Drosophila melanogaster: one gene and its partner. The protein of the gene in region 1 interacts with the protein of each later gene in a pairwise test. Each region holds a gene or a part of one and is shown in the gene's direction. Other genes may lie near its edges.

Region 1 (9,980 bases):
GCGTCATTAAATGTGAGGTTATGTACGACCTCACCACGTCGGCAGATGTATTGATCGAATAATTTTCTACCCATTACTATACTCCCATTAGATATACTCCCAGCAAGGCCGATCTGTCCGTGTTCGATGCTCTGGGCAAGGCCCCCTCTGCCGACAATGTGAACGTGGCCCGCTGGTACCGCCACATCGCCTCCTTTGAGGCCGCTGAGCGTGCCGCTTGGTCGGGTACTCCTCTGCCCCAGTTGGCCGGTGGAAAGCCCACAGTGGCTGCTGCTGCCAAGCCCGCCGCCGACGATGACGACGATGTGGATCTATTCGGATCCGACGACGAGGAGGACGAGGAGGCCGAGCGCATCAAGCAGGAGCGAGTTGCCGCTTACGCCGCCAAGAAGTCTAAGAAACCCGCCCTCATTGCCAAGTCGTCGGTGCTCCTCGATGTCAAGCCCTGGGATGACGAGACCGACATGAAGGAGATGGAGAACAATGTCCGCACCATCGAAATGGACGGTCTGCTGTGGGGCGCCTCCAAACTGGTCCCAGTCGGCTATGGCATCAACAAGTTGCAGATCATGTGCGTCATCGAGGACGACAAGGTGTCCATCGATTTGCTGCAGGAGAAGATCGAGGAGTTCGAGGACTTTGTTCAGTCTGTCGACATTGCTGCCTTCAACAAGATCTAAACATCTGAGATTCTTATATTAACAATAAACTTGAGCAAAGCGAACTAAGCAAATATAGTTGTCTTCATATTTAAATAAAATATTTCACATGAAAGCTGCAATAAGCCAATCATAATTCAGATTGTAAAAACACATCAGTTTTATTGGAATAATGATTGAAATTTTGTAATTTTCACCAAAAAGTATACTTTTATAATCGGTAAAAATCTCTAATCTCTTTAGTTGGCTTGCTGGCTCTCTCAAGTTCTCAGCTTAAGTCTTCCGTTTTGAAGCTTTCGGCGAGCTTTTGTCAACAAAAAAGCGAAGCTCGTAGCACTTTCAGCTCAGTTGATCGGGCAGCTCGATAGAGGTCGGTTGTTTACAGATAGTTGTGATACTGTTCAGTGACTTTTCAAATTGCATTTGCAAACAAATATTTTTCGGACACAAGTACTGCTTATAATGGCTGCCAACAAATTGTGCTGCACTTTGGCTATTGGCGCTCTTTTGTGTCTGGGATTCGCAGCCCTCATTCAAGCTCAGGGTGAGTTAAATACATCGAAAACTATATATTTACATTATATAGGCGAGAACATTTCCGTTCTTGTTATTGTTCGCGAGACGTATTTGTTACGCATTTGCTGAGATTTGCTTTTAACACGAAATATACAAATACCTGATCGTCTGCATTCATTAACATTAATTAGCAATTGTATAGATATTTGAGTCTTTTGTTCTGCGCCAAGACATGTTTCGTTCTTGAGCGGATTTCCCAGATATATTTATCCATCCATCGTGTTTGTCGCCATTTGCATACGACAAGTATCTGGAGGTTGACAAACGTCCATTTAAACTCGGGGATTTCTGATCGGTTTCAGATTCCATAATCGACCATCCATCATCTAAAACACGGGCCGTTGACATCGTTAGTTTTCAATAACGCATCATTGCCATTGAAATTACTTCCGATTAGTATACATCTATTACATTGGCGGAAATTAATTGGTATTAAGTTTGAAAATCATCTATTAATCGTTGGCAGTAATTTGAAGTGAACTCTTTGCTTCTCTGTTTAATAAATTAATTGTCTAAATGGGTAATTAGCAGAAATCAATCAGTCGTTATTTTTGCATTATTCGCGAAAAGGATGTAGTTTTACTGGAGATTTCCCCGAATCCGGAACAGTATTTTGCGGTGCACATCGGTACTCCATTGTTAGACCTCAAAAAATCCCACTTTCGTGACAATTTGCTGCGTGTGGGTTATCTCTGGGTCAGGAAAACCCCGTGAAAAGGTGTTTATATAAACTAAAATATGCACTGATATGATATGTTTTAGAAAGGTGGAAATATATAAAAGGTCTTTAATCTTGACCCAATTTTTATGCCTTTGAAGATTACTTTGCATAGGTCACTGAACTCAGAAACCTCAGAGTTTTGCTCGTGTGTGTGGGTGAGCCAGAAGGCTAGATGACATGCTGTGCTTCACGCTTCTTTCGATCTTTTCGCAAAATTGGCAAAATGCCGATACTCGTTAAAAATACAAAATTTAATTACAAGAACAAGGTCTTGATAACGCCGATTAATTGACTCATCCTCGCCTACGCGCTGCCAGATTTTGTTCTACGGAGATGCTTCAATGTTTCCATTGAAAGTTGCAAAACTAGTTCGATACAAAATGGGATGGGAACGTGAGGCCGATGGATTTCAGGTTCATGGGCGTGCAAGCAACGGAATTGCTTTTCGTTTCTTGGATATATTTTATAATTTTATTGAATTTTTGAAATTTATGAACCCGCTCGCACCGGGGAAACACAGATAACACACTAGGATTAGTTTTATTGTAGTACCTGTTGTTATTTTACACGGAAATCTCTTCGGTTGGAATTTATAATAATGAACGTAAGAAATTTTAAAAGAATTTTTAACAAGTTCAAGATAAGACACCTAAACCAAATTGGTCAACTGGATTTTTTGTTTAATTAGTTTCCTACTACTTTTTTCTGTGAGCTGCTAAAATTTCAAAGTCTTCAACTTGTTATAACTCTTAAAAATTCAAAACATTACCAAATGCTCTGAATAAAGCGATGACATGATCTGGGCAAATCTGCACTGCTAACGCTCTTTTGAGGCTAATCTGGAAAATAAAATAAAAATAAAAATGAACTGAACTGATTTGATTTGATTTGAATGATCTTTAAACCCGAAACAGATAAGCCGGTGACTGATGTGTGCCTGGGATGCATCTGCGAGGCCATCAGTGGATGCAACCAGACACGTTACTGCGGCGGCGGAGTCTGCGGCCTGTTTCGCATCACCTGGGCATATTGGGCCGACGGCGGCAAGCTGACCTTGGGCAACGAGAGTCCCCAGTCGGAGGATGGTGAGTGTCCCATCCATTACCTATGCAATAAACCTTATCATACATCTGATGCACATTAATCTCGCTGCAGCGTATGCCAATTGCGTGAACGATCCCTACTGCGCGGCCAACACGATCCAGAATTACATGACCAAGTTCGGCCAGGACTGCAATGGAGACAACGCCATCGATTGCTACGACTTTGCTGCCATCCACAAGCTGGGCGGCTATGGATGCAAGGGCGAGCTGAGCTACCAGTACCAGACGCAGCTGACCAACTGCCTTAATTCGTTCCAGCAGATCGACGTGCGCTCTAGCATATAAACACATTAACTTGCTAAATTTATATTGTAATTAAATTTAAATAATGTAATAATTAATTATTTATGGCAATGCATTTGAATTCGATTCAGAATAAATGACAATACAAGCAAATATTTTTAACTTTTCAGTGCTTCACACTTGTTTCATAAATTTAGTAAATTATTTCGAATGGACAAAAAAAATAATTATTGTAATGAATTTTACTTATTTGTTAGGGTTATTCGTGTAAAAAACATTTTACATTCCTTGCTTACATACATATTCTCTACATCTTGGCTTGAAATACAGTAAAATTAAACTAGTCTTTAACACACGCTTTAAAATATTTAGGAGTCGCAGTGTAGCATACTTTTTGTTGTAAGTTTCAACTGGGAGTCAGTGAGTGGGGGTATGTAGTAGAACTATTCTTAACACTTTGTGTGGATGCGCCCTATAAACCGGTATTACCCGCTAGATTGGCGCATTTACCGGGTACTGAGTACTCAGTTCATGGGAATCGCTAGAACCATTCGCAGTTTCAGGGGCAGAGGAATTGGATGTTATTACTTTAACCAGCCGGAAAATGCGAGTTTTCCTGCTATATTCCATATATTTGCTGCTGGTGCTGTCGCCTTCATTGGTTCAAGGCCAAGGTACGTTTTTTCCGCCAAAAATATATGTGCTATATGTACAATAAATTGCGTAAACAGGTCATGTGCTGGATAAGCCGGTAACGGAGCTGTGTCTCACCTGCATTTGTGAGGCCATTAGTGGTTGCAATGCCACGGCGATTTGCACCAGTGCGGAAAAGGGAGCATGCGGCATATTCCGCATCACCTGGGGATACTGGGTGGATGCTGGCAAACTGACGGTAAATGGAGAGCATCCCGATTCGGAAAAGGCTTTCATCAACTGCGCCAAGGATCCGCACTGTGCCGCCGATTTGGTGCAAAACTATATGAAGAAGTTCAATCAGGATTGCAATGATGATGGTGAGATGGATTGCCACGATTATGCTCGAATCCATAAACTGGGGGCTTATGGCTGCCAAGCGGACATGCCCTACAATTTCCAGAGTGTGTTCGAGGAGTGCATCGAGAGGTACGAGGATGAGGGATTTGAGTAAATAAAAAATAAACATTATATATATATGTTAATAAACTTAATATTTTTATTTACCCGGGAATCACCGCTGATTGGAAACCAGATCGGTGCATTTCCTATAACTGAAATTAGTCACCTTCGATGGCGCTCATTTTCGATAATAAAAACCAGTAGTCACTGCTGAAATCGTTTCAGTGGCTGAACAATCGCGAAAGGCATCGAATCGGAAGTGAATACACATCTCGAGCTATGCATAGTGCACATATATTATTTTTCGTACTCGGGCTCACATTCGTTGGCATTTGGGTTCAAGCCGAGGTCCAAAAACCCATCACGGAACAATGCCTGATCTGTATGTGTGAGGCTTTGAGTGGCTGCAACGCGACGGCTGTGTGCGTGAATGGGGCATGTGGCATTTTCAGGATCACTTGGGATCAGTGGGTGGACTCAGGCAGATTGACCATACCTGGCGACTCGCCATTGACGGATAGTTGTAAGAACTGCGTTTATCTGTCAATTTAGTGCATTTACTTACTTACCTTTGAATTTACAATATACTCAGCTTTTACCAACTGCGCCAATGATCCGTATTGTGCGGCCGATACTTTGCAGAGTTATATGGTGAAGTACGGACAGGATTGCAACGATGATCAGAAGGAGGACTGTTACGATTATGGTGCCATTCACTATATGGGTCCCTTCAACTGCAAGGCGGATATGCCCTACACCTACGAGAGCATTTTCAAACGATGTTTGAGGAACGCGATGCGGAATGACAAGCGTCAGAATTCCAGCTAGGCCTAATGCAACTTTTTCTAGTATTTAGCAACTAACTTATGAGGAAGAGTCCGTTTAATTTATGTGCAAATAACTCATAGCTAATATAGGCGTTAATTTCGATTAATAAACTAGTGGCTTGGAGTCAACTGAGATCAGTTGTTTGGTCAACACGGCACTTGCAGGTCGGGTTCTCGATTCTCGATCGGATTCAAAGCTCAGTTATGCTACGATTGCTAGTTTGTTTGTGGCTACTGGTGTACAGTGGTTCCAGCTATGAGGGTAAGTGCTACCCAGCTACACAAGCCATCAATTCCGTAGCGATAGTACCTTATAACCACTGTGTTACGTAGTTGACGTGGTGCTCTATAATTATGGTAATCCATCTGGGTTCGCTGTAAAATAAAGCCAGTTTATAGGAATAGCTTTATACTATAAAGCCGGCTGTAACATCCGCCCATTTCCACTTTTCTCGTACACTGAATATAATTTATTCATTAGCTCCATAATATAATGCTTTTTTGATATTTAAAAAGTCTTCTTAAGAAAAATCACATTTATACAAAAATTATCTTCTTTCTTTTTTTTTTTGATGAAATAAGTATGTATTGATTAGTATTTCTTTCTGTGTATTTAGTGCAAAACAAACCCGTCACGGAAGATTGCCTAGACTGTCTATGCGAAACAATGAGTGGCTGCAATGCATCCGCAATTTGCGTAAATGGGGCCTGCGGTATATTCCGAATCACTTGGGGCTACTGGGTGGAGGCGGGCAAACTAACTTTGCCCACAGATACAGCTCTCTCCGAAGACGGTATGTTCAGGATATCCAAGTAATAGATCCATTTCAATTCCCCAGTCCTTTTCTCAGCTTTTACGAACTGCGTTAATCAGCCCCACTGTGCAGCGAACACGGTGCAGAATTATATGTTCAAACATGGCCAGGATTGCAATGGAGACGAGCACATCGATTGCCTGGATTTCGGAGCACTCCACAAACTGGGCAATCTGAAGTGCCAGGAAGAGTTGCCCTACATCTTTGCCAAAGTCTTCAATCGATGTCTGAAATCCAAGGAGCGGATGGCAGAGGAAAAGATCATCAAGGAGCAGGAAACGGTTTCAACATAATTGATTCTTTATTGGGTTTCATCGTTTCCCACTTTTCGGGGATATATTTGTCTGTTTTTAAAACAATCCTGGTAACACATATACACGTACATACATCGAAACATTGCTTATGTTTGCATTTGAACAGTTTCCAATATAGGTATGGATTCTATAGATTTAGTTACAGATACAGATATATATATATAATATATATAGAGGGGTATATGAAAACTACTTTAATATGCTCTCGCTTTTTGTAAACATGTTAACATACTGGTAGTACATAGTTATTAATTTATTCAGATTCTGGCTTACGTTTGCTAAAGCTTGGCTCTAACATTGGTTTGCCATTCAGTGGTCATGGTTCTATATCTCGAGATGAGGTTCTCTCTATTAAGGGGTATTCTGTTTGGTAGTCTAGTATATGGAAACTTGAAAGTAAAAAGGACTGTTACGGATATTTTCATCAGAATCTGTTCAAATTGAAATTGTTTCAACAACCTTTTTAATTGGTAATGATTCATGTTGAGACTGAGACTGAGGCAATGTCGAACGAAAGGCAGCAATATCATCCTATTCTTATCATATCTCTAGACGGTGAAGAGTTATGAAAGTGGGCAGTGAACGTAATGAAAACTAAGTGGAAGTTTCTGCTTACGACTATAAACGAAATGAAAGCAAAATATTAGTGAAAAAATCAGTGCTTGCCAAAGGTTTATCATTTAAATACAAATGTTTGGCATAGTTTTTCTTTTGAATTAAAAGCATTAAATGCCAAAAACGCCCACAAAAGAAGTAAATATGCAGACACAAGTACAATGAAGGTGATTTAAATTTCACGATTCTACAGTGAATTCTTTTTTTTAAGAAACTATTTTTAAATATTTGGCTTCTCTATTTTCTATTTCGAGTAAAAAATCATGGAAATGATTGAGGCCTAACTGACAAATTACGTTCATAAAATTACAATCAAGCTCGATTCATATGGGTAGGGGGTGTTGAGGTGTGTGAGTTGGAGGTCTGATTCCATCCGATCCTATCTGGCTTGATATAGTACGGTTACACGGGTACTTGGTGATGATCTTACATGGCTAGAATTGCAACTGGAAATATGCGTTTTTGCTGGCTAATTGGGTGCCCTTCCCTCACTTCTTGCTGTTCCCATCGTTGGCCAACAGCAGCTCCTTGGCCTCCTTCTTGCCCCGCTTCTTCTCCTCCTTGGCGTGCAGCTTGGCCAGACGCTCCTCCTCCTTGGCCAGTCGCTTTTCCTCCTGCAAAATTGAGAGTGAATAAACTTGGCTTGCATTTGCATGCAGTGGAAATCATAAACAAGAAAATCGGAATTGTTAGCGCTTTATGAGCCAGCCGTGCTCATAAGTTTGGAAATTTATGCTTTGCCGGCACAAAAGGTTCAGCATTTCCCCGCCAATTTCCCTAAGCCCTTTCGCCCGCGATTAATGAAAAACTTTTCCAAAACAGTTGGTAAAAAGAAAAAAGGGGAACGAGGCCAATTACAAACAATGCAAATATGCACAGGCTGGTTCAGAAACTCTTAAGGGTGGGGGAAAACAATGCATCCTGCTAACAAAAAAGGAACGCGAGTACAACGGATTCTCTGCAATTTCACCCACCTTTCTGGCTTCCTTCTCAGCCTTCAGCTTGAGCTTTTCCTCCTTTTTCTTGCGCTCAACAGATTCGTTCTTCTTATTGTCAGCCTTCTCTCCTGGAATTCAAAGTTTTTGGGTGATATGATAAGCGAGTAAGCGATTTTGCTATAAAAACCACTTTTTAAAACTCACTCTGATTACTGGCGGCGGAGAAAAGCGGAAAACTGCGACTGGAAGAGCTTGACGAGGGCTTGGGATTACTAGCCGATCCAGCTCCAGTTGATCCTGAATTGGCAGCAGAACATCCAGCTGATGCCCTCGAGCAGCCTGCTCCTTGTGGAGTCGACTTGGAGGCAGTACCAGTAGCTTTCCCTTGCGGAACAGAAGCTGGCTGCTTCTTATCCTTGGGCATCACGTAAGCGTTTTTCGGCAGCGAGTTCTTCGAGGTCAGTGGGCAGATCTTTGCCCCGCCCGCCTTCAAAGGGGGCGGGGCCAGTGCGGAGCAGCTCAGCTGGATGTTCATCGGACTGGGGCGACGTGGCGGAGGCGACGATCCGGATTCACGCAGCAACGGAGCCAGTTCATGGGCACTGGACTTTGTATAAGTGGAGTAACTGCAAGGAGACATCGATAACCATTTATATCATATATAAATACATATTTGATCCTGGTATTCCACTCACCGAAATCTGGGATTGCTGACGTGCACGGGCGAAGGATGCGGCACTTTGGCCGGACTGCGGAACTCCTTGATCGGCGGCAGGCGGTTCTGGATGTCCATCAGTCGGTTCTTTACATGCCTTCGGCCAGGATACGTATGCGTAGGCGTCATCATTCCACTTGGTACACTACCGTTGCCGTTGCCCACTCCTCCTCCCCCACTTCCGCTCGACGATGAACCGGAAATGGGCGTGGATGAGCTATTGGTGAGCGTGTGAAGCGGTTTTCTTGGCACGGCACCGGAGCAACCAATGGGACACCCACCATGATGCGAATGTGAAGTTCCATTTTCCCGCGGTGAAAGGGAACTGCCCGATGATCCCGATGGAGTGGGTGAGGCCAGACTATGACTGTGATGGTGGGTGGTGGGCGATGGCGGTGCCAGGTGATTGGAGCTGGAAGCCACGGCCGGCGAGGCCGGTGAGCAGGGACCGTTGCTCGATATGGAAGACGTCTTGGAGTAGTGTGAATAACCGGAGGCCGATGAAGCCGCCGATCCCGTCGAGCTCATCGAGTACAGGCTGTCCGACTGGGAGACTCGAGCATGGGCTGATCCTCGGGCGGCGTAATGATGCGGGTGATGCCGTCCCACCGCCGACTTGTGCAGCGTGGGCTGGTGGAACGAATGGTGGCCGCTGTGCGCATCGTTCATCGAGTAGGAGCTCGCCGAGGGTACCACACCGCCGGCGGCCACTCCGGCGGAGGCCCAACTCTTGGCGCCCATTGAGTAGCTGCTGGCCGACTCCTGGATTCGCCAAGTGCCCGAGGACGAGGTCAGACGATTGACCCGCGCTCGACAAATGACGCAGCGAAGGGGCAACAGTCGTTGGGCCACCGCACTCTGAATGGTCTTCACAAAGCAGCGGCGGCAGACGACGCGGTGGCCACATGGCGATGTCTGCATGGTGGCCCGGGCATTGATGCAGATCACACATTCGTCCTCCTGGGAGGTTGGAGGATCCGGCTCGCTTTCCTCCTCCAGTTTACTCAGTAGTTTGTCCTGGAAGAGGAAATTAAATTAAGCCCTTAAGTAGTCACTTCACTAGCGTCTAGAAATTGGTTATAATTGTTAGCCATAAAGTATGCAAGTTATTTCATTTAAGTTTATAAAACATTCAGTCCCAAGAAAACTGACAATCTATTTTTTTCTTCGATTTGATATGATACGTTTTATTCGTTTAAATTTAAAGATCCAAAAAGAACATTTTATTCTTAAATATTTTTGTCATAAAGCAAAAGTACGAATAGTGATAAAAGTAACGCCTATTTTCTGCGGCAACAAAAATTATTTGCAGCTGCTGTTTAGGTTAAAACTTTATGATGCTGCTAGTGCTAAATGAAC
Region 2 (10,634 bases), on another chromosome or scaffold:
ATTTCTTATCAAATGATTATTAATGATTATTTTTACATTTAAGCACAGGGAACACCTGGCAATCGTTTTTGTCAGCACTTCAGCAAATTGGCTCCACCGGCAAAATTCCCTCGGCCAGGCCCAAAATGATAGCGGTAATCTCATACCAGGCCAGATTATCCAGAACCAAATTCATGGGCGGAACAATGAGCTCCTCCATGAATTGGGAAACTTCCGTGGGGTTGTCATTGATCATGATATCGAGATACTCCACGATCAGATCGTTGATGAACTTCGTGTACAGACGACTGTTCATAAAGCCCGTGGTCTGGGACTTAGCCTCCTCCAATTCCCAGTTAACCTTCCAGCTCTTGGCGTACACACCACTGGTGGCCGACTTTGGGCGAATAACGAAACTGCCGTAAGCTCGGAAATTGATCAACTCCAGACTGAGGGCACCGTCACCCCACAGGGAGAAATCGGCACCAAATAGACGAGCCAGGAGATTTAGTTTATAGTTTGTGCTCTTCAGGGAAATCTTGGGGAAGTTCATGTCGAACTTAATGGTATGCAAAATGTTGTTCCACTCCAGCTTGGAGAACTCGTACCCATCCAATCCCTCGATAATCAGATCGGTGAAGTTTCCATTGCAACTGCGGTTCAGTATGGTTCCATTAAGAATAGCTCCTATTTGTGAAGTTCTTGTTTATATTCACCCAAAGTTCTCAGTTCTGATGCCAATTTCCTTGTAGGCCATCTGAGCCGGGGCCAAAATGGGAACCCCTCTGGCCGGGTAGCCACATCGCATCTGCAAACGCAGGAACTCCGTCAGTTCGCGCAGCTCATCATCGAAGAGCTTGGCGGAGCCCAAGGAGCAGCACAGAAGGGCCACAAAAATTACACAAGAAGTTCTCATCGCGAGTGCCAAATAGGAACTGCTAACTGTTTAAACAGTACAAGTAGTTTTTTCCCTTGCCTAATCAACAAATAACGATTAGCCACTTAAGTAGCGAAAATAGATAAGATTGGATTAGGCAGGTGCAAAAGAGATAATCGATGTGTTCCCACATTCGTTTCGAGTCAGAAATGTATCAAAACATTATAATAAATATAAGTTATTCTGTTTTTAAGTCCAACCGCAATTATAATAGCTATAAAAGGTTTCTTTGTTTAGGCAAACCACATTCAGTGAATTCAGAGCATATAATTATAGATTGATTGTGGATATTGGAGCAGGAAATGAGAGTCCAATGGGATTCCACAAATAAAAACCCCAAAAGTAGACCAATAATTGAATATATCGACAAGTGTTTATTCACGGCTGTCCCATAGTTTAGGCCCAGGGATCGGCGGAGGGATCGCAATCAACGACAATCGGATCGTCCTCGCTCTCACCGTCGCTGCTGGCCAGGATCAGGTCCACGACGGTCCAGAAGTCCTTGCCCTTCAGCATCTTGTTCACTCGCGGCACGATGGCGTTCTCAATGGTCTCGGAAATGGCGTCCTGGTTGCCATTGATTCCCTTTACCACGATGTTCTCCAGCTGGCTGTTGATGGCGCGGTTGATCTTGCCGTTGCCCATGAATCCAGTGATGTCCGAAGTCACAGACTCCAACGAGATGGTGGTCTTCAGCGAGGTGATCTTGGCGGAACCCCACAGCATGGGAAGCTTGTACTTCAGAGTGCCAGCAATACGCAGGTTGACCAAATCGAACAACAGCTCTCCGGATCCCTCGTACTCCACGGACAGACCCAACTGGCGCAGGGCATCGATCAGCGTATCAGTGTCGTACTTCTGGGCGGTGGTATCGATGTTCTTGAACAGAAAATCGAAGGTAATCTTGCTGGTGATCACGTTCAGCTTGAACTTCTGGATATTGAAGTCATTCAGACCGGCGATCTTCAGGCGGAACACATGGTTCAAGGTCTCGAAAATGCCCTTTTTGTAGTCTAGGTCGAATTCGTTGATGCGAAGAGGAGCCAGCACGGGAATGCCATACTGGGGCCATCCGCACTCCATCTGCTTCTGGAGCTTGCGGATGAAGCGACGCGCCTGCCAGGACACAATAAACTGGGGGGCAACTAAAGAATGGGTTTCGATTTTGAGTTGGTAATATTTAAATTTAAATCGATAATATTTCAGAAAGCCACTAATTGCCACGAATTACGTTTGTTATTAGAATCAATTAAATACCAGGATTCATTGAAAAGTTTCACCGAGTCTCACCTTCAACTCCCTCCTGGGGCTCCGCGACCAGATCGATGTCACCATTCTGATCCGCCAGCTCCAACAGACGCTGCTCCACCTCGTTGGGCAGAGTGCCGGCGGCACAAACGGCCACCAGGCAGGCTAAGACTACCAGGAAACGCATGCTTGATTGTGACTTTTAGCAACTGAACTTGCTACTGAAATGGCCAACCCCCGGCCAGAGTCTTATATACCAAAATCCCCAGCAGACGATAACGCGTAGAAGGTGATATTGAGCGAAGATAGCAGACGGAATGGGGACTAATTAAAACGTAGATCGTGGACTCGTTTGAATTGCTTTTTATTGGCTGGTGTTGCCTTAGTCTAGCTTCCTGGACTCAATGGCCAACCAGGGAGCGGGAGTGGGATTGCAACTGCCAGTGGTGGCGGACAGCAAGCTAAAGAGATACCAGATCTTGTGACCCGTGAGATGCGCATTGGCCAGCGGCACAAAGATCTCCTCGATCTTGGCGCTGATCTGTTCCTGGTTGCCATTGATGAAGGCCGGGATCTCCTTGTCGAGCATGTCGTTGATGAACTCATTGATCCTTCCATTTCCCATTACACCGCCAATGTTCGAGGATACACCGCCCAAGCCGACGGCGCAACTGAACTTGTAGATCTTGATGGAGCCAAAGATGAAGGGCATCTTGTACTTGAACTCGCCCTGAATCGACAGATTCTGCAGGCTGAAGGACAATGGGCCCGAGCTCTCGTAGCGCACCGACAATCCCAGTTCCTTCAGCAGATTCACAAAGGTGTTGGTGTCCAAATAGTGGGCACTGGCCTTCAGCTCTGGGAAGTTGAAGTGGAACTTGACCTTCTTGCTAAAGGTGTAGCTGACCTTCATCTTCTTGATCTCCATGCCTTCCAGGCCATCGAAACGGAAGCGCAGGAACTGCAGCAGGGTACTAAGGATGACTATTAGATCCACTGATACAATCACTCCAATTAATTATAACTCACTCGACAACCGACTCGGCCAAGTGGATGCGGAGATCAGCATTGGTGTAGGGATCCAGTGGTGGAATTCCATATTGGGGCCAACCACAAGGCATTTGGTTCAGCAGTCCATTGATGGCCTTCTTCACCGATCCGTTCAAGATCAGACCCTGAGTATCGGGCTTGGCGGCTGTTTGCGGGGAATCACATTGCAATTAGTCCTCTGTTTGGTCAGGTGATGGATGGCTTAAGACACTTACGATTACGCGCCACCAGCTGGTCCCATTGCTCCTCGGTGAGCAGCTCCACATCGTAGGCCGCTACGCAGGCCAAAAGGGTCACAAAAACACAAACGATAGCTTTCATTGTATAGCCAGCCACCTGATTGATTGTCCCAGCCGGTCAGTGGCTTTTATAGCAAAGCTAGCGGATTCGAAGGGCAAGCCGAGGGGAAGGGAAGGGATCACTTAACCAGGTTAACAAATACAAATGCTAATCGCTACTTTTGATTAGCGGAGCTGCCATGAACATAACGCCCAATTCACGATAGGCTTCCGATTTAAAAACGAAGGAATCAAATCATTCGGCAAGTGGTTTGTAAAAAAAGGGAGCACTTGTTTCGCCTGAGTGGCTTGTTTTGGCCTAATCTCGACGTCCAATTGGCCAATCGATTGTCAATATCACTTAAAGAATATATATTGCCTATCATTGCGATCTGGATTATACACAAATAACTGGTCTACCGGGGGTAAAACTGCGTCAACCACTCCATGCAGGTGTCGGCGGATTACACTGGATGACCGATTCGTATCACTCAGTGGGGGTAAATTCTTTTGTCTTCAGAGCTTCAGTGGCTTTTTTGTACTCTTTAGAACCTTAAAGGCGTACTAAAAAGTGATTTATTGCTATTCTGATTACGATTTTACAAGGGGAACTAACACAATGGGTAAACTACTTATTGATAAACATATTGGGCTAGGACTGGCGTTAACTTTAAAGCCAATAATTCGTTAAGAGAGTATTTGACTAGCCATCAGGTGTTAATCGTCTGGATTTTTTTATTAATAGATCCATTCGTAAGACCTTTAAATACCCCAGTCGAGATATCATTCATAAATCACTCAATGCACTTAAAAATCACTTGATTGTTAATCAATAAACAAACTTTTCGCAGACTTTAGATCCGCAGAAGTGCATGGAGAATTTTAATTCCAAACAGACTTCTTTAGAAGATTATAATCATGCTAAATTTTTGGTAGTCGTTTTCAATTTTGATAATTACTTTGTTAAAATGTTTCCTATTGGCTTCAACACCTGCATGACCTTAAAATATCGATTGATGGAAAGTTTTCGTAAGACCATACATTTAATGTATGAGTACTCTGTAATCGCGAAACTAATGATTTTAAAATCTTGTTTCCAAGTCAACCACTAATCCTACACCTTCTTTTTTAGAAAACGTTTTAGAAAAACACACTTTTTTGAAGCCTTCTAACCATAACAAAGCGGGGACACACCCCAAATAGACTTTGATCTTGACACTCCTCCACAAGAAGGCAATGTTTGTACTTTAGTGAAAACTGTCTTTTTAAATCTGATCATTTCCTTAGGATAAGTACCCCCATGTATGTATATATAACTAATCATTAAAATTAAAAAATTTGCCAACCGGGGAATCGTTGGCCGAGATAAGACAGCAATAGGCCATCGATTGAACGCCCGGTGGCTAATCAAATCGTTCACGAGTACGAAGCCACCTTATCACAACCCCACCTGAAATGTTGATCGTCTATAAAAAGCGACTCGTGCGACCGGACGACTGAGTAGTATAAATACCGTAGGTACTACGATCAGTCGGTAGGACTCTCAGTCAAAGCAATAATGAAAATCTTCGTGGCTATTTTGGCTTTTGTGGCCGTTGCCAGTGCGGCTTCCATGGGCCAGCCCATTGGTGAGTATTCCAGATGATTTCCAATGCCCAAATATTTAGCATACCTATCCATTTGATTCTCTAGAAACCCAGTCGATCTCCAGCACGATTGTGGATGTGATCGAGGGCATTAAGGAGCAGATGCCCTGTGGCTTTACCAGTGTCGGCCTGCCGCCATTGGCTCCTCTTAGAATTGACCATCAGGATATCAACATCGATAGCAGCGTGCTGAAGGCTCAGGGAACCATTGATCACTTCCGCCTGAACGGTCTGAATGATTTTGATATCGATGAGATGAAGGTCAACGCCATCACCAGCAAGGTGACCTACAAGTTCACTTTCCGCGACGTGAACGTGGATACCCAATACGATTTGAGTGTGCTGCTAAAGAAGTACGGATTTACCATCAATCTGATCGGTGCCGGACATGCCAAATTCGCCATCAAGGATATGGTTATCTGGGGCACTATGAAGTACTCACTCGGCGTGATCAGCGGCAACCTGAAGCTGAAGTCATTGGAGGTCCGCACCCACTTGGGTGAGGTTGATTCCGAGATCGAGGGCATCCTGGGCGATGGCAGCATCAACGAGAAGATGAATGAGTACTTGGCCGAGGCCGTGGAGCTGGCCATCAATGAGAACGAAGATCTGATTGCCGATACCATCGAGAGTATTGCCCTGCCCGCCGTCAACAGCGTTCTGGACGACATCAGCATCGCCGAGATCATCTCCGGTGCCGGTGGTGATGGTGAGGGTGGAGAGAAGGAGGCCTGCATTCCCCCCGAGTTCGAGTGGTAAACAAATCATCGGTCATTAAACAACCGTTTATGAATCAAGAATTCGTCACCTGGCTCTTTTCTTGCGGGACTGGCTTTCGGTGGGTTTTTTTTTGTTCATTGCATTGGGAAATTTAAACGATGTTTTAAAAAGCTTAATATTTACAACATCCATCAGCTTTCATTATATTTCAAAGACGGTCTAATCTCAAGTTGTGTCCTATCTGTCATAAAACACTTTGCCAAATTATTTGCCGATTAATAAAGCTACTTCACATGCACAGAAAAAAAATGTAGATTCATACAAAATAATATAATAAGATATAGCGATTTTCAGAATATGATTTTTATATCAAAGGGAATATCTTAGAGCACTGTACTCAATACCTCACCATTTTGTGTCAATAAACAATAATTTTGATATGAGAGGAATGCCCCTAATATTTCTTTAAACCTTTATAAACACTAATTATTTAAGAATAAATAACAAATTGTTCCATATTTCAACCATGTTTTTGTAAATATAAGCCAAGAAAGCATTCACTGTTTATTCACTGTACATAGAAGTTTTCCTAATATTAAAATTTTTTAATCTAGACACTGATATTTTTGTGCTGTGTACCGATAGATTATCTCAATGGTCATTTTCCTATATAAGAGGAATGGATTTGGCAAGCTTCGACTAGTGGATTTTGATTGCCAAAAGGGTTAACTAGTGTTCTGTGCTAAGAATGAAGTCTGCATTCCTGATTGCGCTTATCGTGGCCCTGGCCAGCTGTCAAGGTGCCGAAGTTGCCGAACCTTTGTCAGGTGAGAATATGAAGAAAATTTTAGGGAAAATTTAATAATCATAGTTAATTTTCAGCCCAAGGACGCTCTTTCTCCAGCGTAATTGTGGACGGATTGGAGGCATTCAGGGTCGTCCTGCAAAATGGTAGCCCGAGATTTGGAATCCCCGTTATGGCACCCATGAAGGCGGCGCAGAGGTCGTTCGAAATCAACTCGGGAGAATTCAGTGGCACCTTTGGAGTCGAGAACTTTGAACTTCAGGGGCTCGATCAGTACGAGATTATCACCATGAACATGGACGTGATCAGGAGTCGCTTGACCTTCAACATCAACTTTGCCAGCCTTAACTTCACCACCGATTACGAGATGGACATGGGCAGTGGCTATCGCATCAAGCGCAACGGTGGCGCCTTCTTTGCTCTCGAGGATCTGAACATTCAGGGTAGAATTAGCTACTCCCTGGGCGTGTTCACTTCCCAGCTTCGTGTGAAGGATGTCCTGATTTACCCCTCCGTCGGCAATGTCAACTCACAGATCGAGAACCTGTCCAAGTACCGAATCTTCAATCGCAAACTGAACGAGATCATCGAGGAGTTCGTAACCCTGACGATTAATGAAAACACCGACTTTGTTGCCGCCTGGGTCAGCGAACAGGCTACTCCCATTTGCAATGATCTGATCGGAGACCGAACTCTGAGTGATATCATTGCGATTATTACGGGAGGAAACTAATTAGGCCAAATAAACTCTACATATTATCCAAAACAAGTGCATAATCCAATTTTCGGTGGTCAAAAACGTGCGGGCCATAAACCATGTGCGGATTGGTTTATTTCACTGCCCACCAGGGCAGGGAAAACACGCAATTTGCTTAATCTAATCTCACAGATTAGACTTATAATAGCATTTCCTTTGCTAAAAATGATTAGGCCCTCTAGCTCTGTAGTTTTTTATAACTCTACTTTTACTCTAATTTATCAACATATTTCAATTGGTTCAATGCTTGTGTACAATTAGTATTGTTTTCAAAACAAAGGAAATTTTACTCAAGAAGTTCTGTTTAGTATAAATTCTTGATTTGGAGTTACAAGTTATATTGTCAAGAAGATCATCTTCAGGAGTCTTTTTGAAGGGAATTATAATGCTTGAAGTGAACTTTACAAGTTACATTTTATCAGATTGGCCCAACTTTTTACCGTTTCGTGATACGCCACATTTAATAAAAATTCCTTTTTTTAGATCAATCCAAATATAGCTCAATTGTGTTGCCTACTTTTTTGCGGTAGACCTTTATATTTGCCATCGGCTTATTTTTGGCTGAGCTATTTGAGCAATGAGGTGTTTAAATTCCACTGCATACTTTCTAGTAGCGTGTAAGGTAAAAAAATGTATAACTTAAAAATGTCAAATGTAAAGTGAGTGCGTAGAGTTTGTAAAAAATAAGTGTCCAATCTTATTTTAGCGTTTTAGCATTGCTAGCATAATTATTAAAAATATCAGTAGTTTGCAGAATACATTACAAGTAGTTAAGAACTACTATACCTGCGCCAATACATAAAAGTATGTATGTCAAATAATTTGAATAGTTATGAATGAACAGTAAAATAGGTAATAAACAACTTGTCTGTACAAAGCATACAAATATAGAAAAACTTTCGGCGTCTGTAAAAATAGGTATTTAATAAAATTAAATAATATATGAGAACATATTGCAACGGAGTTCCCAAATTAATTGTTTTGTGTACGCAAACCTATGTATGTTTCTTCTTACCATACCCTTGTCAAGGTTATTCCTATGTTTGTTGATAACAAAAAACATGCGAGCGCCATACCACCCAGACAGCTAGACAGACCTTGACAGCGAATAAAGATAGATCAATGGCTAATATGCTCTCCGAATCTAAAAACGTGTTTCACTAACTTTAGCTGAAACGCAATTCAGATGACATCGAATTCCTAAATTTGTTGGGAAAAGCTTATTATCATCTGCGAAATCGGGAAAGAGCAAAACAAAATTCCTAGCAGGAGAAACCCTTGGGAGCTTATCAGGCACCCGAGAGATTCGAACATCCCACTGCTAATCAAAACATGCCTGCTGCTCCCACCAATTAGTTTGAAAACACCATTCATTGAGTGAGGAGGCTTTCGATTTTTTATCAATAAGACGCGATGCTGAAATATATTCCTTTACTTTTAGTAGCCCAGGTTAGGAATGCGTTAAGTTCTCCAAATTTATTAAAATACTAAAAAAAAAAACTGTCTTTAATTGAACAGCTATTAATAGTGGCTGCCAAGCCCACAAATCCACAACTCCTAAACTCCGATGATCCAGTGCAAAGGGAGTTGGAGAGACAGGCCAAGGAGGAGACAGTCCACCTGCTGAACTCGTTGTTCCGATCACAAATCGCCTATTTCTCCGAGGTGAAGGCCGCTCTGAATCCCCAGACCAAGCGATTCCAAGATATCAGTCTTTATATAACGCGCCTGAGCCAAGCCATTGATGAGCAGGAACTGGACCGAAAGGATGAGCTGTGGCAGAATATCTTCGAAGAGGTAATAGATACCTACATTGGTATTCATCAAATAAACAAACTGTTAATATCCCTTTTGCAGTTCAAGGACTCTCCACTGCTGATTAATCGGCAATCCGAGACAGGACTCACCGACTTGCAATATAAGACACTCCTGACCGGCCAGAAGCTGCAGAATATATCCACCAAGTTCGTGAGCGATGTGGCCGATTACTTCTGGGAAATGGCCAAGATTAGTGGCAAAGTCGTTGGCAATGGGATAGCGAGCCAGAACGAATAGTAAATCTCAATAAACTATAAATGTATCGAACGAACGGTATGTCTTATTTCGCAAATAATTATTCCAGCAACGTAGTCACAAATTTATTGACAAACCCACACCAAGGCGCAATCGACATACTTAAATTTCCAAATTTGAATTCACTGTTGACACATTTTATGGGTATTGTATTGGAAAATAGCGGAAATATCACGCTTTAACGGTTTATCACAAATTTCAATGGATAAATTTGAGGTGTGAATCCGATCTTACATAAGTGAACTTAAGATTTTAAGTATCTTTTCCCTTTTATTTGGTAAGAGTAGCTCTTGATCTTGAATGGTTTTTTTTACAGTTTTTTCAACCCACTGTATCGAATGCGAGACGCCTGCTGTGGAATGATAAGTTCATATACACCCATCACGAATTCGTGAATCATTCGATGCGACAGCCAAATTTGGACATATTATGAGTTAATTTAAAAAACGCCAAAGCTCTTCCGACTGAGCGCACTTTATTTGTTGCACTTTCCGCTGTCAATCGAGAACGAAAATAAGTTAGCGCAATTGCTATTGCAAGAACAAGGTGCAATTGTGCAATTGCAATTGAAATAGCAAAACGCTAGCAAAGTGCGAGGTATTTTTAATGCAATTTGCTTTAAAAATAAACGCGTACTTCGCGGGTAAACGGGGGCGACCAAAGGGGGAGTGGCAATGTGGCAGGGGCAGACGACGGACACGCATGCCTTCCACTCTGCCGGTTGCACATGTGTCGCTGATATTTGAAAATCCGCTCTTGTACACTGGGAAAAACGGGCACTACATATGATATGTAAAATTTATTGAACTTTAAAAAAGTGTAATTCTTACAAATCTGCAGTTAAAAACTATATGAACTTAAACTATTTATTTAAAAGATTTTTTACAAGTTTGCAAGACGATACAGTGTTTAAAAGAAATACCTATATACGCATTGTAGTTTCCAATAATAAGCGTTTTTTCTGACTGTATAAACAACATACAATTTGATTTCTGACTATGTAATATTAGCTCGGCAAGGTAATTTTCTCCAGTGTATAGCCGGCATCTTTGTGTGAGCTTTCACATGTATTTGTGGCCCCAATGGCATCTCCATGTCATGCTCTCGAGCGTATCGACGCAAACAATTTCCACTTCCGAAT

What was found.
Region 2: the proteins of CG6429 (region 1) and CG8997 interact in a two-hybrid assay, tested with the Drosophila melanogaster proteins (one large-scale study listed by BioGRID).

Annotation. Positions count from the first base shown.
Region 1 is NT_033778.4:16,868,400-16,878,379, forward strand, and holds CG6429 (uncharacterized protein), read left to right. Parts: upstream 1-4,615; 5' UTR 4,616-4,676; coding exon 4,677-4,920; intron 4,921-4,989; coding exon 4,990-5,225; 3' UTR 5,226-5,356; downstream 5,357-9,980. Other genes in the region: eEF1beta (eukaryotic translation elongation factor 1 beta), read left to right, coding at 92-680; CG6426 (uncharacterized protein), read left to right, coding at 1,122-1,203, 2,871-3,041, 3,112-3,344; CG6421 (uncharacterized protein), read left to right, coding at 3,907-3,976, 4,034-4,449; CG6435 (uncharacterized protein), read left to right, coding at 5,429-5,486, 5,842-6,018, 6,076-6,332; CG8910 (uncharacterized protein), read right to left, coding at 7,457-7,582, 7,943-8,034, 8,111-8,532, 8,602-9,638.
Region 2 is NT_033779.5:13,839,679-13,850,312, reverse strand, and holds CG8997 (uncharacterized protein), read left to right. Parts: upstream 1-4,987; 5' UTR 4,988-5,050; coding exon 5,051-5,120; intron 5,121-5,184; coding exon 5,185-5,897; 3' UTR 5,898-6,398; downstream 6,399-10,634. Other genes in the region: CG7968 (uncharacterized protein), read right to left, coding at 80-632, 696-895; CG7953 (uncharacterized protein), read right to left, coding at 1,313-2,061, 2,207-2,351; CG7916 (uncharacterized protein), read right to left, coding at 2,547-3,138, 3,194-3,359, 3,430-3,535; CG33306 (uncharacterized protein), read left to right, coding at 6,607-6,685, 6,741-7,396; CG33307 (uncharacterized protein), read left to right, coding at 8,834-8,869, 8,939-9,217, 9,278-9,475.